Diceros bicornis minor: one gene and its partners. The protein of the gene in region 1 binds, or shares a complex with, the protein of each later gene. Links are inferred from orthologs where the notes say so. Each region holds a gene or a part of one and is shown in the gene's direction. Other genes may lie near its edges. The genes, in order: F2, plasma serine protease inhibitor-like, F2RL2 and F2R.

What was found.
Region 2: the proteins of F2 (region 1) and plasma serine protease inhibitor-like are in contact, whole or in part, in a crystal structure (PDB 3B9F), measured with the Homo sapiens proteins. The link is inferred for Diceros bicornis minor from reciprocal best matches to the Homo sapiens genes F2 and SERPINA5. Residues at the interface, in NP_000497.1 of Homo sapiens: Arg383, Pro386, Glu388, Leu389, Leu390, Cys391, His406, Cys407, Tyr410, Pro412, Trp413, Asp414, Lys415, Trp455, Glu457, Asn458, Leu459, Asn506, Arg541, Ile542, Asp562, Ala563, Cys564, Glu565, Gly566, Asp567, Val588, Ser589, Trp590, Gly591; in NP_000615.3 of Homo sapiens: Gln241, Lys295, Lys296, Arg297, Thr368, Ile369, Phe370, Thr371, Phe372, Arg373, Ser374, Ala375, Arg376, Leu377, Asn378.
Region 3: the proteins of F2 (region 1) and F2RL2 are in contact, whole or in part, in a crystal structure (PDB 2PUX), measured with the Mus musculus proteins. The link is inferred for Diceros bicornis minor from reciprocal best matches to the Homo sapiens genes F2 and F2RL2. Residues at the interface, in NP_034298.1 of Mus musculus: Phe379, Gln384, Glu385, Leu386, Leu420, Arg422, Arg428, Thr429, Arg430, Tyr431, Arg433, Lys437, Ile438, Ser439, Met440, Lys467, Pro470; in NP_034300.3 of Mus musculus: Thr46, Phe47, Glu48, Glu49, Phe50, Pro51, Asp54, Ile55, Glu56.
Region 4: the proteins of F2 (region 1) and F2R are in contact, whole or in part, in a crystal structure (PDB 3LU9), measured with the Homo sapiens proteins. The link is inferred for Diceros bicornis minor from reciprocal best matches to the Homo sapiens genes F2 and F2R. Residues at the interface, in NP_000497.1 of Homo sapiens: Phe382, Arg383, Pro386, Gln387, Glu388, Leu389, Leu390, Cys391, His406, Cys407, Tyr410, Trp413, Lys415, Leu423, Arg425, Arg431, Thr432, Arg433, Tyr434, Ile441, Met443, Glu457, Asn458, Leu459, Asn506, Thr510, Lys517, Gly518, Gln519, Arg541; in NP_001983.2 of Homo sapiens: Ala33, Thr34, Asn35, Thr37, Leu38, Asp39, Pro40, Arg41, Ser42, Phe43, Leu44, Leu45, Arg46, Asn47, Pro48, Asp50, Lys51, Tyr52, Glu53, Pro54, Phe55, Trp56.

Annotation. Positions count from the first base shown.
Region 1 is NC_080770.1:23,574,909-23,582,341, reverse strand, and holds the start of F2 (prothrombin), read left to right. Parts: upstream 1-4,420; 5' UTR 4,421-4,587; coding exon 4,588-4,666; intron 4,667-5,020; coding exon 5,021-5,184; intron 5,185-5,890; coding exon 5,891-5,915; intron 5,916-6,130; coding exon 6,131-6,181; intron 6,182-7,433. UniProt on the Homo sapiens protein: Thrombin, which cleaves bonds after Arg and Lys, converts fibrinogen to fibrin and activates factors V, VII, VIII, XIII, and, in complex with thrombomodulin, protein C. Functions in blood homeostasis, inflammation and wound healing.
Region 2 is NC_080763.1:40,251,539-40,259,055, forward strand, and holds the start of plasma serine protease inhibitor-like, read left to right. Parts: upstream 1-4,504; coding exon 4,505-5,123; intron 5,124-6,815; coding exon 6,816-7,086; intron 7,087-7,475; coding exon 7,476-7,517. UniProt on the Homo sapiens protein: Heparin-dependent serine protease inhibitor acting in body fluids and secretions. Inactivates serine proteases by binding irreversibly to their serine activation site. Involved in the regulation of intravascular and extravascular proteolytic activities.
Region 3 is NC_080740.1:5,827,867-5,833,559, reverse strand, and holds F2RL2 (proteinase-activated receptor 3), read left to right. Parts: upstream 1-4,113; coding exon 4,114-5,184; 3' UTR 5,185-5,193; downstream 5,194-5,693. UniProt on the Homo sapiens protein: Receptor for activated thrombin coupled to G proteins that stimulate phosphoinositide hydrolysis.
Region 4 is NC_080740.1:5,907,002-5,914,953, forward strand, and holds the start of F2R (proteinase-activated receptor 1), read left to right. Parts: upstream 1-4,942; 5' UTR 4,943-5,076; coding exon 5,077-5,164; intron 5,165-5,348; exon of another isoform or gene 5,349-5,369; intron 5,370-5,466; exon of another isoform or gene 5,467-5,598; coding exon of another isoform or gene 5,599-5,620; intron 5,621-7,952. UniProt on the Homo sapiens protein: High affinity receptor that binds the activated thrombin, leading to calcium release from intracellular stores.

The DNA of each region.
Region 1 (7,433 bases):
ATTTTTGAGGTTTTTTTTAATATGCAAAAAGGTAAGACCACCCTGTAGTACATGCACAGAGCCCCAGGCTTTGAAGTGTCCAGATTTAACAATATTTGATCTTGCTTCCACTTCTGAAATTCTCGCTTAGAAGATAATTTTACTGTTTTCAGTGATTATAGAGCTTCGCTTTACAGCGTAGCATTGGTCTTGCCCACGATTTTGTTTGATGCCAGCTTGTTGGGCAGAAATGCAACCCCTCAATATGGCCTTGTTCTTAGAGGCAAATATGATCTGCTTTAAGTGTGCAGGTACGTGTTTGTGGTGAGAAGCAGGAATGACAGGCTCAGCTGCATGATACTCACTGGGCCCAGAGAGTTCCAAGGAGAACAGTTCTTGGAGGCTGGGGCTCTTCTGGTGGACCCTGAAGACTAGGGGTGTGCTGGGTCCATTGGATTTCTGTACCCGTGGTGGTGCCACCCTGGTCTGGCAGAACTTTTGGATCCTTCCAGAGCCACTCACAAAGGGGATGCTCTCCCTAGATCTCTGCTCTCCCTAGATCATCGTGAAACATTCACTACTTGAAGAGAACTTGTGAATCCCTGTGGACTCTCACAGCCGTCCTAGAAACTGCGTGGGAAAGGACTCGTATGTGCACTCCCATCTCCACGTCTCTCCGAGCACAAGGCTGCATTCCGCAGGTGGGCAGCACTGCTCTCTGCAAAGTAGAGAGGGTGGATGTGGTCTTCTGTTCACCCAAGAACGTGTGAAGGCTGTCTAACTAGAATCCACTTACTGCTAGCCTCCATTTATTAAGGAATTAAGTTTACTTTTCATTGTGAAATTTTTCAAACACAAAAAATTAAAAGGGATAATATAACAATCCCCTAGCCACCTAGATTTAATGATTGTTAGCATTTTGCCGTGCTTGTTTCATGTTTGTTGTAAGTTCTTCAGTATAATCTATAACTCATAAGTTATATAAAACTATAACTTATATAAAAAATATAACCATGTGTCATATAATACTTATCAAATGAACAATAATTCTTTCATTTGAATGAGAACCTAATCTATATTTAAATTTTCTTGCTTGTCCAAAAAGAGTCTTTTTACAATTGATTTCTTCGAAAGTCTAAACCAATCATGGTAATTCTGTTTCCCTGGTGCATTTGGTTGTTAGGTCTCTCTTAGGTTTCTATTATTCTGGACAGTCTTTCCCACCCACCCCTTTTATTCTATGTCATGAATTTGTCAGAGAAACTGGGGTCATTTGTCCTGAAAAATGTTGCTCATTCCTTGTGGTGTCTAACTTATTCCTTTATCATCTGTATTTCCTGCAGACTAGTAATTAAAGTTAGAGGCTGAGAGGCCGGCCCAGTGGCATAGTGGTTAAGTTCGTGCGCTCCACTTCCATGGCCTGGGGTTCACAGGTTCAGATCCCGGGCACGGACCTACACACCGCTCATCAAGCCATGCTGTGGTGACGTCCCACATACAAAATAGAAGAAGATTGGCACAGCTGTTAGTTCAGCGACAGTCTTCCTCAGGCAAAAAGAGGAAGATTGGCAACAGATGTTAGCTCAGGGCCACTCTTCCTCACCAAAATAAATAAAGTTAGAGGTTGATTAGATCCAGATTCATCATTTTAGGAAAAACTCTTTATAGGCAGCATTGTGTGTTGCCTGTTGCAAAATAGCATATAACTGCTGTTTACTGAGTGCTTACTGTGTGGCAGGCATTGTGATACTTGACGAACATTATAGTATGTTCTGAGGGTAGTTTCGTTTTTGTTTCACAACGATAAACTTAACTCTGAATCCAACTAGACCTGAAGGGAGACGAGATATATGAAATACAAGAACTGCAGCAGGAGAGAACACAGAGGTTACAGGGTGTGAGAGCTGGGGGCGCTCTCCTCAGGGGCAAAAGGAGTGGTTGGGTATAAGATAAACACAAGAGCAAGTTCGTCAGAAGGGCCCAGAGTCTTCTGACTGGTCTTGCCATTCCTGGACCCAGCATGCCCCGTGGCTTCCACAATATTCATGCCATCTCTCTCCTTGCCAGAGAGCCAGTGCTTGCCATCCAGCCCGTCAGTCTTAACCGTGTGGATGACAAACTGGGGGCCATTTGGGTTGGCTCCAGCATTTGCCGTGGACAAGATGTCAGGACCATATTCAAAATGAATTTCTCATCAGCAAAGTTCTCCCCCTGGCAGTACTATTGTGGTGTGTAAATTCATCACCTGACACATAAATCCAGGAGTAAGTCTGGGAAAGCAGGAACCCGTATAACCAAATCTCGTCCTCTCTGTGTTCAGAGAACTGAAGTTTTCTGCTTTGGAACATTGTCTGCAAACAGCTTGAGGAAGACATAGCCCAAGACTTGCTCGTTAACAGCCATGTCTGCGCGTGGTGCTTGTCTGTCATGACTGGGGGGTCCTGACAGCGGGGGAACAGGGAGCAGTCAGCAGGCCCCTTGTTCCTCAGTAGAAGAGGTGCCGTGTGTTAGGTGATCTCTCCCCCTGCTGACACCCCCTCTCACCTCTTCTCCCTTTCCAGGTTGAGTCAGCACTGGCCCAACCTGGTCCCCAGGAAAGGGAGGGTCACCTGCCTCGAGGCAGGAAGGATGAAGCCACACCTCTCTTCTCTCCCCTTTTCAGGAGCCCTACCCCCTTCCCTTACTCAAGATGTAACTTTTTAAGAAATTAGTGAGGTGAGATCTTTGTACCATTCCACTTCCTTCCCTCCCCAAAAAAGAGTAGGCTCAGTGTCATTAGTCAACAGGGAATACAAATTAAAACCTCAGTGAGACACACCTGCACATCCATCAGGATGGTTGATGTGAAATGGATGGACGATATAGAGGGCTGGGGGGGACGTGAGCAACCGGGACTCTCCAACATGGCTGGTGGGAGCGTAAACTAGTACAGCCACTTGGGACAACTGTCTCAGCGACTTCAGCAAAACATGCCTGCCTTATGACCCAGCAAATCCTGGGCGTGTAACCCAACAGAAATAAGTGCTCATCTACACCCAGAGACTTGTGCACGAATATTCATAGCAACATTACTCATTATAGCCCAAACTGGAAACTAATCCAAATGCCCATCAACAGGTGGATGGATAAAGAAAATGTGCTCTATTCATGCCGTGAGATACTATGCAGCTTCAAAGGAACATAACATGGATGAATCTCAGGAACATGCTGAGCGAGAGAAGCCAGACACAAACAGGTATATGCCGTAGGTTTCCATTTATATGAAGTTCAGAAGTAGGCAAAACTATCTATAGTTAGCATAGCGGTTATCCTAGGGCCTATTGGGGCTGGAAATGTTCTCTCTCGTGATCTGGTGGTGGTTACATGGGTGTATGCATAAAAATTTGAGTTAAACACTTAGGATTTGTTTTAACATTATTGTATATAAATTAAACCTCAATTTAAAAAATATATATATAGAAAAATAGGAATATGTAATATAAATATAAATATATGTAAGTATAGGAACTGGGCCACCCAGGAATTAAGCTGATTCTTGGTCCCCCGTTCTCTGCCAGCCTTCTCTCTTCCCTGCTCTGCACCAGGCCCCTCCCTGCGATCTCAGACTGTACACGACCGCAGTCCAGATGCCGAACGGCCAGGCCTAAAGGATGGCGAGGCAAGAGCCTGAGCTCCCTGTGTTCCTGTTCTTTGTCCCTCTGTCCTAACTAGACTAGGACTAATATTTACCTTGCGTCCTGTAAACAGGAAGTGGAGGAGGGACGGGAGCAGGGCTGGCCGAGGGCAGTGTAAGACAGCAGCCTCTCTAGGCCCGGCCCAGGGCAGACGGGTGCAGGGAAAGGGGGTCCCTGCCGCGGAGACCCCGGGATTTGGGCTGCCCCTGTTCTGGGGAGGGCAGCAGTCCTGGGATGACCAGAGGCCCAGGAAGCCCTGGACCTGGTTCCTCCTCCCGGGGAACACTACACACAAACACACCTCCACAGCTTCCCAGATGGGAAAGAGGGGAAATGGGACCCTCCGTCAGGGGCTGAGAGGCTGGGGTAAATGTTGGCCGTCCCTGCCCCCAGTGTGTCATGGGGCAAGGTGGGCAGCTCTAATCTGGCGATGCCCTTGTCTCTATTCTCTTCTATCTATGTGTTATGATTACACGAACCTCCCGGTTGGTTTATATCCGTGTATCTTCTGATTATTAAGCCCTCACTGTGTTTCATGGGCTTACATTCCTAATCTCCTCTAGTCCTCATAGCAAAGTACTATTCCCACTGTACCGATGAGGAAACTGAGGCACACAGAGATTAAAGCAACCATCATCATGTGTTGGAATTGGAAGGGGCCTCAGGAACTGGTCCAAGTTGACCCATGTCTTAGGGAAGGAGGGGCAGGACGATAGTAGTTACACTGATTTTCCTTTGTGACTTCCTCCCAGACCATCCATCCCTGGTCGCAGGAGGACCTGTACCCCCAGATGGTGGGGGTGGACTATCTATCCACTTGTCCCCACGGCCCTGACCTGCTGACCTCTGCCTCTAGGCTGATTTCTTCATGTTAGTTCAACATTAACCCAGAGGGGTCAGGACGAACTCTCAGAGTCCCAGCAGCCCACACACTATGGCGCACGTCCGAGGCCTGTGGCTACCTGGCTGCCTGGCTGTGGCTGCCCTGTTTAGCCTTGTGCACAGCCAGCATGGTAAGGGGGCTCGGAATCCCGCACAGACTGACAGACCAGGATTCCACCCGTGGAGAACACAGGGCCGGCCCCTAGATGGGTCAGCCCAAGGTATCTAGCTTAGGGAAGGAGCCGGGTGCTCAGGGCCGGACAGACAGTGACTGCTTCTCTCTTACAATTGGGGAGTGGGCTGGGGGTGACCAGTGAATGGAGGGGAGCTAGTGGGCTACCCTTAGCAGCTTCCTGAGTCCTGCTGCCATCCTAGACATCCCCTTTCAGAAGCCAGCAGGGCAGGCCAGGCTTGCTTCCTGCCCCCACGGTGGCCAAGATGGCCTGACCCCCTGAGGCCGCTGTCCCACACCCCTCCTACTGCAGTGTTCCTGGCCCCTCAGCAAGCACTGTCGCTGCTCCAGCGGGTCCGACGCGCCAACAGTGGCTTCCTGGAGGAGGTGCGCAAGGGCAACCTGGAGCGGGAGTGCATAGAGGAGCAGTGCAGCCGCGAGGAGGCCTCAGAGGCCCTGGAGTCCTCCAGCGCCACGGTGAGGCTGGGCTGCTCGGAGGGAGGCCGGGGCTCCCCCGATGTGGGCCCACCTCTAGGGCCACAGATGAGAGGAGCCAACATCACAGCTCCTAAACTGTTGACAACTTGATTTCGTCTCTGAGCCCCATTTCACTGGGCTGCCAAGATGAGCAACCTCAGCCTTTCTTGGGGGGGACCCAGTGCCTGGGCTGTGTCAAGGTCCCAGGGACCAATGAGGCTCCAGGACGTCACGGGGCCTCCTTAGTCTTCAGACATCTGTCTACACTGGGGTCCCTGGGGCCCCTGGCCCACTTGGCCTCTCGGCCTCAGCTTTTCCGATACTCCTGTGCCGCCTGTGGGAGGTGGGCGTGTGGTAGGCTGGGAGCCCTGGGCCAAGGCCTTAGCGTTCCACGGACCCTGTGCAGCCTTTCCCTTCCGCGGGGCTCTGCCTGGGCCCCACACTCCCCTCTCCGCCAGTCTTCCGCACCCAGGGGAATCCCTGTCCGTTTTGGTTGAGGGAGCCCCCCCCCCTTCAAATACTCTTCTGAACGAGCTGGGTTTTTGGAGCAAAAGTAGGAAACTGTGCCACAAACGTCCCCAGAGCCTGCCCCTTGCGTGACCGGGGTAAGGAAAAGAGGGAAGAATAAGGAGGAGACATAAAGTTTACTAAACAACAAAACCAAACGGGATCCTGCCACAGCCTCATGCCAGCCCTTGTTTTTCAGGATGCGTTCTGGACCAAGTACACAGGTGAGCCCTGGGAAGGGTGTGCTCCAGGAATCCTGGGGACCCCAGTTAGAGAATCTTCTGGTCTGTCCTATCACTCACCTATCCACCCAATCTCTTTTCCTCCTTCCTTCCATCCATCTATCCTACTCTGTTTCTGAATGTCGTCCCACCCTCCTTTTACTCAAGCCCATCCTGTCCCTACCACAATCCCAAAGGTGTTTCTGGGTCTTTTCCAGCTTGTGAGTCGGTGAGGATACCTCGAGAAGATCTCGTTGAGTGTCTGGAAGGTGAGGAACTGGCATGAGGGTGGGGGCCAGGATATGAGAGGGGCAGTCTGGGAGAAGAGCAGAGTAGGGGTCGGTTAGGGGCTGTGGCCCAGCAGCGGTGGCCCCTAGCATCTGACTTTGCCTTGCTGTTCCTGCCGTCGAGGTTGTGTCTTTGCCCCTGGCTCTGTACCTGCTGGTCACTAAGATGATTAATGTTGAAGGAAGAAGTAAATGGATAATGAATTAACATTAAGGCCTCATTCTCATGAGCTCCTGCCCACGCCAGTTAGTCTTCCCCATGCCCCCAGGGCAGAGCTCCCATGACATCACTTTCGTTCTCCAAAACCTTGAGTGGCTCCCCATTGCCCCCAGAATAAAGCACAGGCTGCTTAGGCTGGTGAACTTGGCAGCCTAACCTTAACCTCCCCTTCTAGCCTTCCCTCCTGTTGCACCAACCATGAACACAGAGCCTGAGCTACTCTGATAGCCAACATTTCTCTAAACATGCCAAGATGTTTCTACTGCCTGGCCCTTGCTTAATTTGTCATCATCCCCTTGAGCAACCATCACCACTTACTGAAAACCTCCCTGTCCTGCATGGACTAGTTCAAATGCCACCACCTTGCTGAGCCTTCAGGGAGCCCCCTCCCTCCTCCACAGCGTCCTGAACACACCTTTAGTATGACAACAGGCCCCACTACAGGCAACTCGTTGATCACTGGCCATACTTTCACTTGTTAAATAACTTATTCAATAGACATTTCACTAAGTCCCTGCTATGTGCCAGGCACTGTGTCAAGTTCTGGGGGTTTAAGAGAATCAAGGAGCTCACAATCTCATAGGAAAACAAAATGACAAAACATCAAAGTGATGGCTGGCAAAGTTCTGTTCCAGGGGCCAAGAGAGTGCCAGGAGGAGGGGCGTTTAGTTTGCTGGCAGGATCAGGGACAGCTGCCCAGAAGAAGTAGAGTTTTACCTGGATTTGTAGAATGTGCTGATGAATAAACAGGAGAGCATTCCAGGCAAAGGAAACAGCATGTGCAAAGGGCCTGGAGGAGGAGGAGGCATGAGGAGCTAAGATAACAGGACAGATAGACCAGGGACGGATTAGAAGGAGCTTGTTCATTTTATCATCCTGCTCGCCATGAGGAGCCACCGAATATAAGCTCCATGAGGGCAGGGACCTATGACTGTCTTATTGACTGTGACTGTCTTATTCATTGTTGTGTCCTTAGTACCTGGCACAGTGTCTATCACATGGTGGACACTCAGT
Region 2 (7,517 bases), on another chromosome or scaffold:
GCTGACTGTGTTGGAGGAATTGAAAAAAGGAGTGTGCTCAGAGGACACACCTGATTGAGGGCGGAGCAGGTCAGGATGAGGCTGGTGAGAGCCAGACAGAGCCAGACCACATGGAGCCTCGGTTATCGCACAAATCAGTTAGATTTTATCTCAAAGGAATGAGCGGAATCACGTTCTTAGGAAGGGGAGCACCATGACCATGTTTGTGTATCACAGAGATTCTTCCAGACGCTGGATGTAAAATGGTTCTCAGGGGCAGGAGGAGCAATGGGGTGGTCCAGGAGAAAGACAGAAGGGGCTTCCATCAGGATGGTGGCAGGGAAAATGGGGAGAGGCAGGCAGATTGAAGACATATTTTAGAGCTGGAAACCAACAAGTCCCGCCGATGGTCTGGAGATGGGAAGGGAGGTTAAGAAAGTTTCGTAGGTCACTGATCCCAGGAAGCTCTGCCCCCAACGTCTTTAGGATCTGGGGAAGTTGTGGTTTTTGTCTTTTCCTCTCTGCCTGGGCCCCTAGACTGACATCTCCTCTTGTAATGAGCAGAGAGTGGACAGACCCTCCTCAGCTGTGCGCCTCTCACAACTGAGTCCAAAGTCGACCCGCTGGGACTCTGTTGCTTAATGTTTAGAATAAACGTCAGCAGATTTTGGGTCTGTGGATGTTGAGGATCAGTGGGAGGGCTGCCCAGGGCCTGCCCACCTCCTGCCTCCTCAGGTCTCTTTGCCCTGGGGTGCCAGATGGGCTTGATAGATCTGCTCTCTTCCCTCTGACATGTGGGGGCATCTCTGCAGAAACACCCCAGGAGAGGGTCAGCCAGGCCAGGCTCTGCCACCACGCAGTGGGGCTGGTCTCCTAAGTGCCTGAAGCAGACTCACGCCGGCTCAAAGTTGGCACAAAACTCTGTCAAATCTGTGTGTGTCCACCAGAGGCCCAGGAGTGTGCTGGCAAAGCCTGAGCTTTGAAACTAGGAAACCTGAAATGAGCACCCCAAGGCCTCCACTTTCTCAGAAGTGACGTCTCTGACTCTCTGTTTCCTCTTCTGTACAGTTATGATAACGATACCAACTCCATGTTGCTGTGGAGGAGTGTAAACGAGCTAATACAGGTGACCAGCCTGGGAGAGACCCAGGGATATGTAGCAGGAGCTACAGGGGAGGAGGAACAAGGTCATTCCTCAGGGCCGTAAAAGGGACCAAAGAGGCAGCACTACATCAGTCCGAGGAATCTGGATTTTAATCCTGCTTCCATCACTCACTGGCTAGGACAAGCTATTCCGTTTTACTAAGCCTCAGTTTATTCAGCTGTAAAACGGACTGAACCTTGAGAGTTGCCTTCCTGGAGGCCTGCTTGCTTTCGGTAAAGCTGAAATGTAGTAATATTTATAGAATGTATAATAGGTCCTTAATAAATAGTAATGAGAGAGAGAGAGTGAGCCCAAATGGAGCAAGACTTCTTGGTCCCCAGCCTGCAGCCCAGGGGACCCTGAGTGAAGCTGCAGCTCTCTCCAAGGAGACCCTGCTATCCTGGAGACTCAGTGGCACTTGGAGAAGTGGCTCTGGCCTGTCAGATCTCTGGGGTTCAAGGGGGTGGGGACAGTGGCAGGGGGGAAGGTTACTGGACAGAACATGTGACAGACCTCCAGTTGTTTGTGAAGAAACAGAGGCCTGAGAGGGGAAGGGCCTGCCCCAAGGTCACCAGGAGGGCTGCATGGATGGGAGGCTGGGAGCCAGAACCCTCCCTCCTGCACCCCAGTCAGCTGCCTCTGGGCTCCGTCCACACAGGAAACTCCCTCTGCCTCTGTAGCTGTTCTTTGAAAGGGTTCCTTTTAAGGGAATTATCTGATGGTGCTAACACTTTGGGGGAGGGACCACAGTGTGCTGTAAAACAGACTAGTTGAAAGGACATAGAGAGTCCCCCACCCACCCACGTCCTTGAAAGACCTCCAGGAAGGCAACTCTCAAGGTGGGAACAAAAAGGGAGTTTTTGTTCAAAAAACAAAAAGCATGGGAAGCCAGACAGGGTTTCTTCATTATCTGCAGGTTAAGGGCTATGAGTGGCAGCTGCTGAGGCAGGGAATACAAGATTGGGAGGCCGAGACCCAGAAGAGCAAGACTAGGGATCTGGGGAAACTGATGGTACAGCGGTTTAGAGTGTGGGCATTGAGGGCAGAACCGGGTCTGAGCCCAAGCTTCGCCACTATTAGCATGTGACTCGACCTCTCTGAGCCTCAGATTACTCATCTGTGAAATGGAGCTAGTAATAGAACCTGCCTCCGTCGGGGGGCGTGAGGCTAAAGGAGTTGATATGTGTCAAGACAGCACAGCACCTCCCAGCGGGCGCCGGCGATGCGCCTGGGCCTCCCACGGGCACGGTGATTGCTGAGGCTGCTGTATTCAGTGCTGGGTAGCCAGAGGTTCTGCAGACAGAACATTCTAAAGGAGCCTCCTTTGTGAGCTCAGGTGCAGTTTGGAGGCCAGGGGCGGTGAGTGCGACCTGCTCGAGTCCCTCGATTTCGCTCACAGGCAGGATTGCAGCCCAGGTCCCCTGACTCCCAAGCTCATTGGCATGTCATGTCCCTCCCTCCCTCCCCCACCATGGGCCACTCTGCAAGCAATGTACAATGCAGCTGTTTGCAGCCCTTTGGAGTTTGGTTTTGCCTGGGTCACGTGACTCCGTGGCCGTGCTCACGCTGGGGCTGGGAGACCTGATGACATTGTGTCCATGGGGGAGAACGCTCAGCTGGAGGGGAAGATCTGAGCAAGAGCTTTCATCAGAACTCAGGCCATCGGCAGCCTTGGAGTTAGTTACCCGGCCAACACTGGGCTCCCATGAGAACGAGTGTGTGAAAGCACGTACCCCACTGTACGGCTGAGGAAATGGGGTGCTCAAATGGGGGGACAAGTGGGCCCTGGCCAGACACTGCCACACCGACAGCTCCTGCTTCCACAGCACCAGGTCTGCACCAGGCGCCGTTCCAAGCACTTTACCTACATTGACTCCTTAAAGTCTCCACTCCCCCCTCACCCCCAGTGCAGGCACTGTGTTACCTCCGTTGAACAGGTAGGGGACAGAGGACGGGGTGTAACTGACTTGCCCCAAATCACACTTGGAGTGAGTAGCAGGGCCGAGATTTGAACCCAGGCGGCTGGGCTGCAGTCTGGGCTAGTCACAGCGGGTGGAAGGAGGTCTTTGGGAGGCCTGGGTGCAGGAAAGGTTTCCGGTTGGAGAGGAGGGGTCTGGGTAGATGGACATGAGGGAGGAAGAGGAGGAGGGACTGAAGGTGGAGGACGAGGCCGGAATGATGGAAGACCCCACCTGAGAGATGTAGAGAGAAAGAAGGCGAGGGCTCTTGTCTGGGGGAGGGAAAGGAGAGATGTCTTAGCGCACTCGGGCCGCTGTGACAGAGCACCACTGTCCAGGGGCTCAAGCAACAGACATTTATCGCCTCTCCCTTCTGGAGGCTGGAAGTCTGAGATGAAGGTGTCAGCAGGGCTCGTTTCTTCTGAGACCTCCCTCCTTGGCTTGCAGATGGCCACCTTCTCCTCCCTGTGTCCTCACACGTCTTCCCTCTGTGTCTGCCTGTGCCCTGATCTCCTCTTCTTATAAGGACACCAGTCGTATTGGCTTAGGGCCCATCCATATGACCTCATTTTAGCCTAACTACCTCTTTAAAGACCCTATTTCCAGATATAGTCACATTCCAAGGTACTGGGGTTAGGGCTTCAACATTTGAATTGGGGACACAATTCAGCCCATCACAGAAGAGGAGAGAAGTGGAGGTGCACACGTTAAGAGGGCAGAATTTCCTCAGGAAGAGAAGGTGCCTCTGATGAGGGACAACGGTGGCCTTGCAGGGTCCTGGAGCCGTCCCTGGGAGAAGGAGAAGGGACCGTCTCTCAGGAGCCTAGCACCCTGCCTGCCTTGTAGCAGATGCTCAATATATATTTGCTGAGTGAACAAGGGCAAATCCAGCAGTGCTGGGGGTCCACAGCGGGTAGTTGGTCTGAGTTCTCAGAAAGCCCACCAGGCCTTGCCAAATGCTGCACTTGAGGACCAAAGCGAGGGTTAGAGCCACACGTGGAAGCAGGCTGCTAATCCAGTAACCACAGAGATGCTGACCAGGCAGAACATGGAGAACCTCCCAGCTCCATGTCCCATCCCCTGTCACGTGTACCTTGATGTGGGTGAGAGGGGAGGATTCTTGCCCTGGTGGCCAGTCCCTGCCTTGGATCTGCTCCCCTCTGCCTTCTCCTTCCTCTCCCCACCGTTAGATATCCATGTCCCCAAACCTCATCCTGCAGCCCCTTCTGCCCTCCTTAAGCCCTCACTCCCAGCTTCACTGGTCGTCTTTTCCCTCTGATGCTGCATTTTGAGCCGTGAAATCTCTCTGGAACATCGGTCTTACACGCTTCCTCCTGATCTTCTCTCTGGGCAGACACGCTGGCCCCACACCCTCTCTGAGCACATCTTCCCACTCTCCATTTCAGAACAAGGGGCCGCCACAATGCAGCTCAACCTCCTCTTGTGCCTGGTGCTCCTCAGCCCGCTGGTGGCCACCCTCCACCGCCACCGCTCCCGTGAGACAAAGAAGAGAGGCAAGGAGCTGCCACCTGTAGTTACCACGGTGGCCCCCCACACCGGAGACTTTGCCTTCGACCTCTACAGGGCCTTGGCTGCAGCTGCCCCCAACCAGAACATCTTCTTCTCTCCTCTGAGCATCTCCATGACGCTGGCCATGATCTCCCTTGGGGCTCGGTCCAACACAAAGGCACAGATCCTGCAGGGCCTGGGTCTCAACCTCCAGGGGGGCCCGGAGGAAGAGCTCCACAGTGCATTCCAGCAGTTGCTACAGGAGCTCAGCCGGCCCAAAGAAGGCCTCCAGCTGAGCCTTGGCAATGCCCTCTTCATCAACCCCACGGTGCACATCCAGGACACCTTCCTGAATGCCATGAGGACACTGTACCTGGCAGACACTATCCCCACGAACTTTGGGGACCCCGTAGGGGCCCAGAAGCAGATCAATGATTACGTGGCAAAGGAAACTAAAGGCAAGATTGCAGACTTGGTTAAGGACCTGGACAGCACTGAGATTATGGTTATGGTGAATTACATTTTCTTTAAAGGTAAGACCCTTGGGCTCGAGCCTGAACTTCCTCTCTCCTTCCAACTGCTTTTGTCAAAAGAATACCCAATTCTCGCACACATGGAGGAGGAGGAGTAAATTCAGTCCTTTCTGGTGCCTGTTGATAACAGTGAGGCCAACAATCAGCCGTGATAAGACGGCGCCTTCTCACTGGGTAAGGAGATGCTTATGACCCCAGGGTTGCTGTTTCCTCCACTGGGGAAGGGCTGAGTCCTGTCTTCGGGACCCTGGGGACACCTGAAGCCACAGCATCCACTCAGGTTCTGAAGCATGAGTTCCTCATGGCCAAGGTGCCAAAGAAACCAACACCACAGCTACTCAGGCCAGGACTGTCGGCCTTCGATGGGCTTTCAAGGGCATTTCTCAGCTGCTCCCCTGGGCCTCAGACCCTCTCCCCCATACCCTCCTAGGGGCTGTTTCCTAGGCCGAGAAATCCAGGGATGAGAGCCTGTTCCTCTGAATAGCCTCCTCTCCCCTCCTCAAGAACCCATCTCCATCTTTATCTCCCTGGGGTTTCATGTAAATATCTCTACTCATCTCCAGCTCCCAAGTCAACTTCTCCTTCTAGATGCTGAACCCCTCAGCGCCCTGTGTGGGGTCTGGCTGAGGATGGGAAGAAGAGGAAAGCAGAGTGGATGAAGAGAGGAGGAGAGGAGAGGGAAGGGGAGGGGAGGGGATGAACAGGGAGAGGGGGTGGGGAAAAGGGGATGAAAGGGGAAGGAGGCAGCGAGAGAGGAGAGAGGAGGTGATGGAAGGGGAGATGGGAGGGGGGCAAGGAAGGGGGAGGGGATGGAAGGGGATGAAAGGGGGAGGAGAGAGGGAGAAGGGAAGGGATGGAAGGGGAGGGAGAAGGAGGGGAGGGGAGAGGAGGGGAAGGTAGAGGAGGGGAGGGGGAGGGGGAGGGACAGGGGCAGGAGGGGGAGGGGGGAAGGAGAGAGAAAGAGGAAGGAAGGAGGAAAATAGTGAAATTGTTAGCCACCTCCCCCACTTCCTGGTCACAGATGGTGAATATCAAGCTTGGATTCTAAGATTTCCTGTCCCATAGCCCAGGGCTCTCTCCATTACACCAGGCTGCAGAGGACAGCTGTGAAATCAGCTAAGTGAGGTATTGGGAGGGGGTCCATATTTGATAGCTATTAAGAAGATGGAAACAATTACTTGTATCGCTTTGATCAAAAAGTCCCGTAGGAAGCAGACAGAGCAGGAAGTGTAACTGAAGACTTCCTAGCAAGAAAAATCATGTATTTCCAGGAACCTTACAAAGCTCTCCTCCAAACCTAGACCAAATCCAATGTTGGGAAAAGAGTGAAAAACAGAGTAAGTCACCCAGATACAGTGTAGCTTTGTCAGCCATCCGTATTTTTATCCTCTTTACTTGGATATTTGACCTCAAGTAACATCAGAGCCTCAAACAAACATTAGAGGTTAAGGGCCTCTAAAAACTTGAAAACCAGCCTTCTTGTTTTGCAAATGTGGATGGAAAAGCCCCGTAAACAGTTCCAGTGTGCCCCAAAGTTATAAGGGGCTTGCCTTCCTGGTCACAGTGTTCTCCAGTCACTGCCAGCAGCCAGACTGCTCCAAAGAGGATGATCTCTGCTTAATAGGTTTACTGTCTCCACACTTGTCATTTGCAGCTGAGAAGTTCTCATTTCTTTTCCATTTTAATCTTCAGCTAAGTGGGAGACAAGCTTTGACCACAAAAGCACCCAAGAGCAGGACTTCCATGTGACCTCGGAGATGGTGGTGCGGGTGCCCATGATGAGACACGAGGAGCAGTATTACTACCTCCTGGATCGAAACCTCTCCTGCAGGGTGGTGGGGATCCCCTACCAAGGGAATGCCACAGCCTTGTTCATTCTCCCCAGCGAGGGCAGGATGGGGCAGGTGGAGAACGGACTGAACAAGAAAATCCTGAGGAAGTGGCTCAAGATGTTCATAAAGAGGTATTCTTCAGACTACCCCGGGGCCAGCCTAACCCTACACACCCCCAGAGAGACACATGTCTCCCTAGGGCCACACAGCAGTGGTGGGAAGGACTCATCCAGCCCAGGAGCTGCCTCCAAGCCCAGAGGCATCATGTGAAGTCCCAGACCCCAGGCCTGGCCCTGCTGGACGGAGCAGGGCTGGAAGACATGACCAAGTTTCCTGGTGGTGCCATCAGAATGGGCAGTGACCTCTGGGGACAGCGTAGGTCCAAGTCCAGGGTAGGATGGGCTCCACTCTAGGCAAGGGGCTGGAGGATCATTATGAAGCCAAGGAGAGATAGAAGGAATATGAGCTCAGTGTGCCGATGCTCTAGAAGAGTCTAAGAAAGGCCCTCCTCTCTTTCCAGGCAGTTAGAGCTTTACCTTCCAAAGTTCTCCATTGAGGGCTC
Region 3 (5,693 bases), on another chromosome or scaffold:
AGGTGAAACCGTGCTCCCCGATTTTACACATTTGATGACATCTGGGAAGCGGGACCCAGGTCATCAAGATGAAAGCCCTCATCCTGGCAGCTGCTGGAGTGATGCTTCTGTCACTCACTCACTGTCAAAGCGGTAAGCTCTTTTCATACGGGGTGGGGTGGGGTGGGGTGGGGGTGCTGGTTTGTATTACAAGAGTCAACTGAATCTAATTTCCTTGGCATCTCACACAAACTGCAACCCAAAGACAGCGTTTGATCTTAGTTATTAAAAGGCGGCATCACAGAAGCGAACAGCGTAACTTGGTTCACTTGGCTCAAACCTCTTCAAAGACTGTGTCCTCTGCTTACATTTAAGAATGTGTGGCACAGCCAAGGTTTTAGATCTCTACAATTAAGGATCAGTTTTCTTTGTGAGAAGTTTTTGATTTTCTAAGTATTTCCTCTGATTCAGCAAAGATAGCACTTTTGCAAGAGATTAAAAAAAATCTTGTTTATACCTTCTGGTGAGGTACAAATGGGGGAAACAAGAATACTCCCAGAAAGACTGAGTGGTCTGCTCTCAGTAATCAGCGACACTAATAAATTAATGCTTCTTAACGAAATACCTTTTTTGACTTTCAGTGGTACCAGGGAGTTCTCCCCACCCTCATATATGATTTTTTAATTTTATAAACGAAATCTCCCAAATACTATTATTCAACTCTTAATGTGTTTTCTCTTTCACTCAACACGATGTTAGCCTGTAATCTCCTGCTTGCTTCCAAATTAATAAACTTCCGATAGATCTGTATCCACAATGCTTTCACCATTAGGTCACAGTCCAGGCCACACTGTCAGGAGCAGGAGAGCCGGTGAGGGGCAACAACAAGGGGGAAATAAAATGAAACAAAAATCAAACTGCGGTAAAGGGATGCTGCTTACATTGACAGTTGGAATGGCCGAGGCGGGTGTAGGAGAGTGGGAGCACACATGCGGGTTACGAATCAGATAACTGAGCACTCTATCTAGGAATGGATGAACCCAAATGCAGCAGAGTAATGAAAGAAAAGAGGTTTGTGGAGGTGGTTCCTTCAAGATGCTGATGGGATTTGGCGGAAGTGAAGAGTGGAATTTAAAGGCGACAAAGTAAAAGGCAGTGCATTTGCTTTCTTGGATGGGATGGGGGAGAAACGTGAGGGAAGGACCCATTGTCTAGAGGCTGACGTCCGTTTCCATTGGATCAGCCCCTCTCCAAGGCCTTGAAACATTTCAGAAACATTATGCCAAATGGAAACCTGTATAAAGAATTCAAATAAATTTTTTTTTAAATTTAAATTTAACAATGAGTACTATTCTTAAGGAAAACCAGTCTCTAAGGAATAAAAGACTTATTCAAGCTGAACCAGATCCAGAATTCTCATGGAAAATGGAATTAAGACTTTTTCACAAACAAAGTCACTGTTTGGCATGTTTTTAGGCATGATGCCTTGCTCAATCAGAGGAATTTTCTGAAAACTGACAAACACTTGGTTTCAACAGCTCTCTTATCAGATCCGGAAGGGAAGTAACTTGTGCAGCATGTTCTTCAGCCACCCTTTCCAGCTTTCGCCTTTCGGTAAAGGCACTTCTTCGGGCTGTTGTCAGATGCAGGAATTTCCAAAATGCACAAGTGAGCAGAAGGATTTGTGTGGCTGAACTCAAGTGTCACACACACGCCTTCACGGTTCACATCTAAACACAGGCACAGAAGAACGCCACTTCCCAGATTTTTCTTTCCTTCTCTTTAATTTATCTGCTCTTAAATGACACCTGAGCACCCCCCGTCCCTGCTTGTTCGGGCAACACCCTCCCTCTGTTTTAGACACTGAATACAGTTTGTGCAATCTCATGGCTATGAGGAGGTTTCAATTTCACCTGGGAGCGAGCTGCTAGAGAAGAAAGCAGGAAGAGAGACTGGCTTTGAACGAGAAGCAGGTTACTAAAGTCTTAGTACTTTAACTAACACGTAGGAATGCTGACGTCACGCGAGAAGACGTAACTGGCAGAGCAATGGCATTTGAAGTTGATAAGTATGAGGCGCACATTCAACCTAAAAATCCATCTTCAGGTAACTTTAGAAACTTAAGAGAACCTACTTTCTATATATGTCAAAGATTAATTTATGGAAAAATATATAATGAGAAAGAGATTTGAGTATTAAGGGTTATTCTGTTTTTGAAGTTTTCTTTCAAGAATTAGGATCATTAACATCAACATGCCAAGTAATGCCAAATACATATAGTATGTAGTTGCTGAGTTTGTTTTTTTATTTCCAAGTTCCTAAAAATCATCATATTGATTTCATCTTCTCATTTTTCTTCCTTTGTCTCCTCTCCCCTTAAAATCTGACATTTCCCCTAAAGTCTGCCTTTCGATTCTTTCTTCTTCTCTCTCCCCAGGCCACCCCCACCACTTGCACTAAATTAAACTACAGCCTCTCTGCACACTGAAACATCCCACCTCTCATCTGGGCTCCTGGAATTTTGGACTCAATGCCTAAGGCTTCTAACCTGTCACGGGACATTTAACACACCAATATCCCACCAGCAACTCAAATTTAGTTAATGCTAACAACCGAGGTCTTAGCTTCTCCCTGTGCTGCCCCTTGTCCCACCCCCCTGCAAGTCATCTAGACTAGAAACCTCCAAGGCACTTTTAGCTCCTCCCTCTCCCTCTCTGCTGCCATCACCAATCAGATGCCAGCCCCTTGGAGCCTCCATCACAGAGTCTCATGTGTGCATCGTCACCTTTCCACTGCCGTCGCTCTACTTCGGCAACTCTCCATCTTGAGTGGCCCCCAAATCAGGCCCCCTTGCCTCTAATTTCTTACCTTTTCAGTCTATTCTCTACACTCTCACCAAAGTCATCTTAAACACAAGTCAAGTCACGGTTATATTAGTTTCCTATTGCCACTGTAACCAATTACCACAAACAGTGGCTTAAAACAACACCGATTTATTATCTTACATTTCTGGAGGTTACAAGTAGTAAAATCAAGGTGTCAGCAGGGCTGTGTTCATTCTGGGGGCTCTAGGGAAGAATCAGTTTTCTTGCTTTTTTCCGCTTCTAGAAATGCTTACATTCCTTGGTTCATGGCTCCTTCTCTCATCTTCAAAGCCAGCAGCATAGCATCTTCAAGTATCTCTGACTTGGACTCTCTTGCCTCCCTCTTATAAGAAATCTTGTGATTATATTCAGCCCAGTCAGCCCATCCAGGATATCCATCCCATCTCAAGGTCCTTAATCAATCTGCAAAGTCCCTTTTGCCATACAAAGTAACATAGTCACAGGTTCCAGGCATTAGCAGATGGAATCTTTGGGGGGCCATCATGCTGTCTACCACAACGCCATCCCTCTGTTCACAAATTTGCATGTGTAGAACCCCAGCATCCATGAATGGGCACCTGATTTCTCAGTGCAGTTTAGAGGCCCTTCAGAGATTTGACTGTAACCTACTCTTTCAAATTCATCTCCTATGATGAATGCGCCTTATTAGCATAAGACAATGTGTTGTTGTGCATCTTCTCCACCAGCCTGAGAGTTGAAGACAGGGATGGAGTTTATTTAAAACTATATACCACTGGCATATATGTATGCAACAAACATTTGTTGAACTAACTTATCTGACATTCCCAGATTTCACGCCAGCCCACACTATGCCTTTGCTAATATATCACCAACAGAATCTCATTCATCGATTAAATTCTATCTCTTTATGAACTTTGCTCATGTTTGCTCATGTTTATCTTTTCCTTGACATTTTGCTCAAACATCTAAATCTGTTAACTATCGTCTGAACGCCTATACAGCTTGTAATCAATATGACATTAGCGTATAGTGGTCTGATGTGCTATTTTTGTTTCCTCCAACAGTATTATAAACCTGCTACATGTAAGGAGTTGTCACGTAGTTTTTATATACTAAATGCATTCCTGTTGATTACCTGATCTATAACAACTTTTCAAAATAAAAATGACCCTAAATTCTACAACTACAGAAATTAACGTAGCATAAGACCTTTAGTTTTATTGTCTCCTGAACCACAGATATGGCTCAGCAACAAACCATATATTAATACTTCTTTTCAATTACAGGCATGGAAAATGATGCAGACAACTTGGCAAAGCCAATCTTACCTATTAAGACCTACCGCGGAGCTCCCCCAAATTATTTTGAAGAGTTTCCCCTTTCTGCCATAGAAGGCTGGACAGGAACCACCACAACTGTAAAAATTAAGTGCCCCGAAGAAAGTGTTTCAAATCTCCACGTGAATAACGCTACCATAGGGTACCTGAGCAGCTCCTTAAGTACCAAACTGATACCTGCCATCTACATCCTGGTGTTTGTAGTAGGTGTGCCAGCCAATGCGGTGACCCTGTGGATGCTCTTCTTCAGGACTAGGTCCGTCTGTATGACTATCTTCTACACCAACCTGGCCGTTGCAGATTTCCTCTTTTGTGTCACACTGCCCTTTAAGATAGCTTACCATCTCAATGGGAACAACTGGGTATTTGGAGCGGTCATGTGCCAGGCCACCACAGTCATCTTCTATGGCAACATGTACTGCTCCATTCTGCTCCTTGCCTGTATCAGCATCAGCCGCTACCTAGCCATTGTCCACCCTTTCACTTATCGGGGACTGCCCAAGCGCACCTACGCCTTGCTAACGTGTGGACTGGTGTGGGCAACGGTTTTCTTATACATGCTGCCATTTTTCATCTTAAAGCAGGAGTATTATCTTGTCCATCCAGATATCACCACCTGCCATGATGTCCACAATACATGTGAATCCTCAGCTCCCTTCCAACTCTACTATTTCATCTCCTTGGCATTCTTTGGATTCTTAATTCCATTTGTGGTCATTATCTACTGCTACACAGCCATCATTCGGACACTTAATGCATATGATCATAGATGGTTGTGGTATGTCAAGACGAGTCTCCTCATTCTTATGATTTTTACCATTTGCTTTGCTCCAAGTAATGTTATACTTATTATTCACCACACTAACTACTACTACAACAACATCGATGGCTTATACTTGATCTATCTCATAGCTTTGTGCCTTGGTAGCCTGAATAGTTGCCTAGATCCATTCCTATATTTTCTCATGTCAAAAATCACAGATCATTCCACTGTTTACCTTACAATGGTGAAATTATCTTAGAGAATAAGGAAAGCTATCCGTAAAAACATACATTCTTGGGATAACATGCATAATAAGTGCAAGGAGTTCTATTCTCCAGCTCCATTTTTGAGTGCCTAAGAAATAGTGGTTCAAAATAAAACATTACAATAGCACTAGTTTTTTTACACACTTTATCAGTATTTTAAGAATGTCAATGCAGAAGAAAAGATATCATCACTTTCCTTATAGCAACTGACACATTCGCCTGACTGGTACTTCAAGCTCTTTAAAAGTCCATCTTCCCTACTTCTCTGAGGTTTCTACTCTAGATGACTTGAAGGGAAGGGTGGGATAAGGGACAAAGTCACAGCATGGGGAGAAGCTAAGATCTCATTTTTCAGTATCTGGTGTCATTTTTGATTCTTCTCTTCGTCCGAATCTCACTCTGGTGGCTGCCTCATCAGCTGATTCTATCTCTGTAAGTCTCTCACCAGGGTCCGTTGTCCTAGGCCCACCATTGCGTTCCAATCATTCTCTTCACTGCCAGC
Region 4 (7,952 bases), on another chromosome or scaffold:
TTGGATTGAATTAGACCACTAGCCTTCCTGGTTCTCCAGTTTACAGACAATAGATTATGGGACTTCTCAGCCCCCATAACCTCATGAGCCAATTCCTACAATAAATCTCCCCTTGTATCTATATCTATAATATGTCCTGTTGGTTCTGTTTTCCTGGAGAACCGTGACTAATACAGAAGGGAGATGACCAGAAGTAAAAGATATTGAGTTCACCTTATATAACTGCAACAACAGTTTTTATTGTTGTTTTCTTTTTAACAGATATTGAATTTGACACTTTGTTAGTACCTCAAGCATAGGGAGAGTCTACCATTCTATCCATGGTATAATTAGTGGAAATACATTTGTTGACCCATTATGAGAGATTAACTTTACTTCTAAACCCAAAATACCAGTGCTGATTTGAAACAACAAAAAGCAAAAGGCAGAAACAGGCTTCCTGCTGATTAGCTTGTAACTTGATTACAGACTTGTTCTCTTGAAAAACAGATGTGGAGGTGTCTGCACAGAATCTGGAGTATCTCACTCCTAACTTGAATACAATTTGCTTTCCTTCCGTGTGAGCCCTGGTATCACCACCGTTAGCTTCCAAAAGGGAATTCCTGAGCTAGTTCCTGGGATACACGGTTGTCTTGGAGGGCTTCCCAAGAGGAGTGGCAACCTGAATGCCCGAAACAGGTAGATCACCTAATGGACTTAAGAGAAACTGCTTTCATATCATTTTGGGATTAAAATGTGCACCATTTTGATGTCACGTTTTTATAAAGCACTACTAAATACCACAAACACTGTGAGAGGATAGCTAATGACTCATACTATTTGGTGCCAGGCAAGTTCAAACAGAGAAAATAAAAACTGGGAACCAGTATCAACTGGTCCCAGCATGAATGATGCTGCAATGTTGAGGCATCATTTCTGAGGAATATCGACCTGTTAGGTAGCCCTCTCTGGTTAGGAAGATTTTCTACTCTGGGAAACCTACACACATTTGCTCTAAAACTGCCAGTCAAGGAGTTTTGGTACAGGTGACATGGAACAAATGAAGCAGAGAGATTCATATCTTTTTCAAGAAGCTCTAAAGAGCACACAAGTGGTATAGGAACTTTGTAGAGTGTGAGGAAAAAACAGACAAGAGAACATCGCCAACAGACCATAACACAAAATGAGAAATCAATCACAAAAAGCCAGTCAAAACTTCTAACAACTGATGAGATGGAGCAGATATAATGAAACTGACAAAATATTTAGCCCTGAATTGCATATATGTACATATCAAAACTTGCAAAATGCAGCTGAAGTGGTGATTTGAGGAGAAGGAATGAAAATTAACAAGCTAAGCAATCAGTTCAAAAGGTTAGGAGAATAAAGAGTAAATCCAAAGAAAGGGAAAAAAAGTCTATGTGAAAATTAATGACATTGAAAATAAACAATAAAACCAACAACAAAAAAAAGATGGGCATTGGAAAATGGTTATTTCCAACCTCTGGCCCGATTCATCAAGAAAAAAAAGCAAAAATATGCTATTTTAGGCATAAAAGTGGGGACAAAACTGCAGATAAAACAGATAGCTTTAGAAGAATAAAATTCAGTATATACATACAAGAGAATACTATGACGAGTTTAAAAAGAAAGAATTAGACACGTATCAATCAAGTAAATCTAGAAAAATGCAAACTGAGCAAGTATTCCTAGAGTATGTTACTCTGTGTAAATATTTAAAACATTCAAATCAAAACTAATTTTTTTTGGAAACACAGATGTACTAAAAGTATAAAAACATGGATGAGAAAGTTCCTTTTCTGGGCAGGAAAAAGAGTAGAATCAGGGGCCGGCCCAGTGGCGTAGCAGTTAAGTGCATGCTCTCTGCTTCGGCAGCCTGAAGGTTCGCAGGTTCAGATCCCCGGCACGCATCAATGCACCGCTTATCAAGCCATGCTGTGGCAGCGTCCCATGTAAAGTAGAGGAAGATGGGCACGGATGTTAGCCCAGGGCCAATCTCCTCAGCAAAAAGAGGAGGATTGGCATTGGATGTTAGCTCAGGGCTAATCATCCTCACTAAAAAAAAAAAAAAAAAGACTAGAATCAGAAAAGGGTACCAGAAAAGCTTCACCACTGTAAGACGTGTATGTATTTACATGTATATGTTCACGCCTCATTGTAGGCCCACGGGTGTGATATTAGGCTCTGTACTTCTCTATGCTTGAAATATTGTGTAATTTAAAGAAAGTCTCACAAACTATATGAAATCCTGTTCAGTTCTTTTTCTCTCTCAAAGCAGTAGTTTTCAAAGTGTGTCTGTCTCTCTCTCTCTCTCTCTCTCTCTCTCACACACACACACACACACACACACACACACACACACACACAGAGCAGCTTCAGCCCGTGCATCACCTGGGAACTTGCTAAAAATGCAGATTTTCAGACCACACTCCAGACCTACTGAATCAGAAACTCTGGAGATGGGGCCCAGCACTGTGTCTTCCAGATGATTCTGATCCATGCTAAAGTTTGAGAACCACTGTCTTAGAATAATGTTTCTCTAAACTTTGTTCTGGGAACCCTCAGACATCACCATTGCCTGGGGGGCAAAATGTAGAATTTGATTTCCCAGGTCTGGGAGGGGGGTCTGGGCATCTGCACTTGTGTGTGACAAAAGTTAAAACCACTGGTTCTGAAGGTAGGTTTAACTTTTGGTGGCCGCTCAATTAGCAACCCACAATCTTTAGAAAACACTAAAGTGAGAAAGAAATACCTCACTGTGTTCCACTCTCCCACCTTGTTCACTGTATTTCAGCCTAGATAAAGCATACTCAAAGGGATACTTTCCTCTACTTAACAGGCACAAAGAATTTAAGCTTTTGTTCCAGTGGCTCTCTTTTTGTCACCAGAGGTACATTCTGTTCTAATAAGTAAGCAAAAAAAAGCATCCTTTTAAATTCTACAGTTTTGTAAAATGGTTAAAAACATTTTCCACCAATGTAATAGTTACAACTTAAAAGCAGTCATAGTATTATTCCATTCTTATTTTAAGTATACACATACATGAATACTTGTATGTGGATACAACTTCTTGAACAGCGGAGGCAGACAGAAACTTTTAACTGCAGCCGCCATGGAGACATGGTTCTTAGAAGGGGAGGCTGAAGAGACTTTTACTTTTCACTTTATATCCTTGAACTATTAGAATTTCTTGCCATGTGTATTGATTACTTTTATATTTTACACCGTATTTCATTGATTCTAAGATGCCCTTTCATGTTTAAACAACTCTGAAACTGAGATGTTTCTTACAATCAGTAGTATGTCACAGTTTAATTGGCAGTATTTTTTCCTTGCTTGTGGTACATAAATTAAAATGATGAGTCAAAATCAATGGTGTTTAGGATTGATGAAAAATAGTATAAGTTAATAGCGAGTGGAGAAATATATAATTGTAGTGGTTCACGTTACTCTTGGCTATGTTTTCCTTGGAGAAATGAATAGAGAAAATTTTTAAATAGCGTTATATAATTGGGTTAGTCAGTAATTTATTGAGAAACTTCTATAAACGAAAAGGCCTGAGCCCTGAGGATGACGGAATGCAGGGAAGAACGAGATAGTCTGCTGTATTTTCTCCGCCGGTTTAAGTGTCAGTGCCAATCTCCATGCGAAATTCCCTTTTTAAAAAGCTGAGAGCCCTGGACCAGTAACTCTCCACCGAAGTTTATCAGCCGCAGGGCGCAGAACACGCCCGCACATCTGTGGGGAGAGGGGCTGCGGTACACTTTCCCGGAAACGGCCGGTTGAGCGGACCCACTTCCTTTGTGGTCTAAAGGACGCGGCCACCAGATACGCTCTGCAAGCAGGACAGGCTGCGTGCTCCTCCTGGCCCAGCCCCGGGCGCGACGTCCTGTAGGGGCCCCCAGCGAGCAGCTCGGTGTCCCCCGCCCTGTGACTTGAATTTGGCCAAATACTGTTAAACTCACGCACTACCGTCCGAGAGAGTGTGAGGGCCCCTAAGAGTCACCAGGGCCCCCCGCCCTCCGGGCACCCCTGTCGCAGCCCGGGCACAGGGACAGCCCAGCCGGCCCGTCTCCCGCGAAAGGCCGCGGGTGATTCCCACGGCCCTCGGCTGGGAGCTATTGTCAGAGGGGAAAAGGGACAGCCGCGCCCGAGCGGGGGGCGGAGAAGCTGCTCTTGGGAGGCGGGTCGTTCGTCCCACTCACAGGCAGCGTGTCGGTAAAATAGCGAGTGTCCGACGGACGAAATGTCTAACTTGGCGAAATAAAGAGAAACGAATAAGAAATGTCTAGAATTCTGTCCAAATGTAGGACCCCTTCTCATTAGGGGGCAACCTTGTCACTACAGTATAAACTTTTTAATCCACTCTCCCTAGTTGCAGAGACACAAGTCACTTTCAAACTTTTAGCTAAATCCCGAATTTCCAAATGGGCCGCCGGGGCAGGGAGGTCTCGGCCGGGGGCCAGGCGCGGGCGCCCGGGCGCACCCTGATCAGACGGTCACCGCTACCGTCTGTGCTCCCGGGAGGATACGGAGAGGTCGAGGGAGCAGCCGCCCGGGCCGCCCAGCCCTGTTCCAAAGCCCCGCCAGCCTGAGTCACTGCGAGCTTCGTCCAGGGCGCCCAGAGGAAGAATGTCTCGTTCGGCTTCCCCCGCCGGACAGGGGCCGGCAGCCAGGGCGGAGCGGCGGCGCACCGCGCGGCAGGGGGTGCCAAGTGGCCGAGGCCCGGGGCATCCGAGCGGCGGGGCGGGACCAGGGGAGAGGGGGCTGCGGGGAGGGGGCGGCGGGCCGCAAGGCGCACACTCGGCGCCGGGGGCGCCCTTCCCGGCCCGCGCCGCCGGCGCCCCGCCCCTCCCGCCCGCCGGCGCCCCGCCCGCGCCCGGCCCCGCGCCCAGCCCCGCGCGCGGCGCCCGGCGGAGCGCAGCCAGACCCGCCAGCCACCTTCCTGCGTGCGGCGAGCGCCCTGCCCGCCCCGCCGGCTGGCCCCGCGGGAGCAGGAGGGAGCCCGGGCCCGCGCTCCCGGCGGCGGCACAGTCTCGGGAGCAGCGCCGCGCCGAGCGCGCCGAGCCTCGGACAATGGGGCCGCGGCGGCTGCTGCTCGTGGCCGCGGGCCTGAGTCTGTGCGGCCCCCTGCTGTCGGCCGGCACCCGGGGCCGCAGGCCAGGTGAGACTGCCCCGGGCTTCGCTCCCAGCCGGGGCGCCCCGGGATGGGGCGGCGGGAGGAGGAGGGACGCTGCGGGGCGCTGAGTGGATGCAGGTTGCGCCTTCTCGTCGCTGGGGGTGCCCCTGACTGCCCCCTCTGCCTCAGTTTCCTCCAGGAGCCACACAGGCGTTTGGGCTGAGACCCGAGTCTCCCCAGTCGTATCCAGGTGGGCGTGCCCCTCCCACCCGCCCCCTTCGCGGCTTAGCCGAGGCCCCTCGGCGCTCGGTTTTGGAGGATGCAGCCGGCCTGCCACAGGGTGTTGGATACGGAGGAGCCTGGGGAAGCCTGCATTCCTCGTTGCATTTGTTGCCGCTGTGTGGCCTGGTTCTCCCAGGACCACCCCAAGAAGAAAGGGTCTACTTTGCTCCGCCGATAAACGTTCCGGTCTTTTCAATATGGACTGGAGAACCGCTCCCGGTGAAGTTTTGTTTTGTTGGAATTGTTTTCCTGGCGCATTGTACAGGCGAGGAGAGTGTGTAGAGAAAAGCCCAGCCAGTCCCTGGGCACGTTTGGTGGAGAATCAGTACCCGCAGCCCCGGGCACGGGCCTTGTGCACGCGAGGGGCTCGCGGGGCGGGACAGAGCGTGATAACAGGAGAGCCACCGGGCGCGGGCGGTTGTTGGGAGGTTTCGTTTGTTTATCTAGCACCCAGTCTTCCTAGTGAGTTGAGAAAGAGATCCCCTCCCCAGGACCCGGCTCCCTCCGACCCTATGGGATTTCAGGATTTCAGTTTCGCATCTGCTGCAGGAGGAGGTAGGTCGCCTGGAGTCTGTGTCCCACTGACAGTGTAGTTTCCAGTATCTGGCTACCTGACCAAATAAACGTATTCTCCAACATGCCCCCCCCCCCCAAAAGCAGGGCAGAGAAGCTGTTTTTAGCCTATAAAGTTAGAAAAAAATTTTAATTTCTTTGTAATGATAGTACTTTATAAGCTTTTAGCCACATTTTTTTGTGCAGAAACAGATTCTAGCCGGTTTTCTTACTATCTGTGAAACATTGTGAACTCTATCTTGTTTTCACACTGGAAGCGGTATAGATGCATCAAGATTAGGAGGTGACAAAGACAGCATTTTCTCTGCTCTCCATCTTGGCTCAGGGTGAGTTTTGAGGTGACGCTTTTGGGAAAATGAAGAGCCCCAGATAGGGGCCCACAGTTTTGCAGCAACTAGCCGGCCTGCCTGTGGATAACGTGAGCATCGTCTCTGGGGTGTAGGGGGAAACATGGAGTCTAGAACAGATGTTCACTCAGCAGATGTTTACTGAGACGTTGGTAAGTTCATTAACCAGTTTACGTTCCTTTTCCAGGCCATTTAAGTGAGATCACTTGCCTTCGTCAGAGGGCCAGTGACCAGAAGGTGATGTTTATAAATTTTGTAAGAATCTGGAGGATGAAAGGGTTCAAGAATAGCCCATGGTGATGTGGCAGAGGGGACTGGGTGGGAGATTCCACATGCTGCCCTCCTGCCCACAGGCTCAAGCCCAGTTCTTTAGCATGGAATGAGTCCCCACCCTCTGACCAGCCTCTCTTATTACAGATCCTCTCCTATTACATAACCTATTGCATTACCTGTACTTCACCCAACCCCACCCTCTAGGTCCTCCCCCAGGGAGCTATGCTTTCTCTGGCTTTTGTCCTCCCCCCTCCCACTCCCTCTGGCCTGAATGTCTTCCCCACGCCCCACGTTTTCACATTTAACTAAAAACAGTCACTTATATCAAGAACCTACTACCGACAACCCCCTGCTTAGGTACATTACATATCCCACCTTATTTATTCCTCATAACAACCCTTTGAGCAGGTGTCATCCCCATTCTACAGGTAAGGAAACCGAGTCCCGGCATGGTTAAGTCACAAGTCTGGTTAGAAGTGGAGCTGGGATTTGACCACAGGCCTGTCTTTCCTAAGTGCGAGCTTTCTCTACCTCCCCCTGTCGAGAGGAAGCCATCCAGTCCCGCAGCCCCTCTGTGCTCTCTGGTACCCCTAGAAGGCAGAGTCTGTGCCCCGCTGGCTCCGTAGCCCAGGCCTAGCACATGGAGGTGTTCAGTAAACATTTATGCATGGATCGTGGTATCCTGCCATTTACTTTTGAAAACAGACCAGTGAGGCTGGCCATAAATAGATCCCTGTCTTGAATATGCTAATTAAGTGGCTGTTACTGAGAGACGGTGGTCTTAAGCCCAAACAAAAGGCACAAAACCAGGCAATCATTCTGCTTGAAGCCAACCAGAAACCTCTGCAAGTCAAATTTCTTATGAACCAGCAAGTAATTTTCTATTCCAATATCTATCTCATTCCTCCTCCATCCCTCCCTTTCTTTCTTTCTTCTCTCTCTCTCTCTCCCATTCATTCCTTAGTGGCTTTGGCTCTATTTTTATCTCCTAATCTGTGTGTGAGGACATTTGGGGGGGCATTCTCGGCCTTTCTCAGGAATATTCTCTTGTCGTCTCTGCTGGTTGCCTTTCCACCCCTCCCCTCGTCTGTCTGATTCAGCGTTTCTTGGCCCCTGTGTCTGAAGGGATCAGTGTACTATGAATCCTAACTTGCATTGTCTCAGCAGCTCTGAACGTGCTCCTTTTCCGAAGTGCTGGCCGCCATCTTCCCTGTGCCCTTTCTACCCCCTTCCTCCTACCCCAGTCAATTCACCTTTGTCCTTGTCACCCTCACAAACTGGATCTCAGCTGAGCCCTGAGCCGGAGTTCCGCCGAGACAGTGGGGTCGCCAGCACCCTGGGTTCCTTGTCTTCCCACT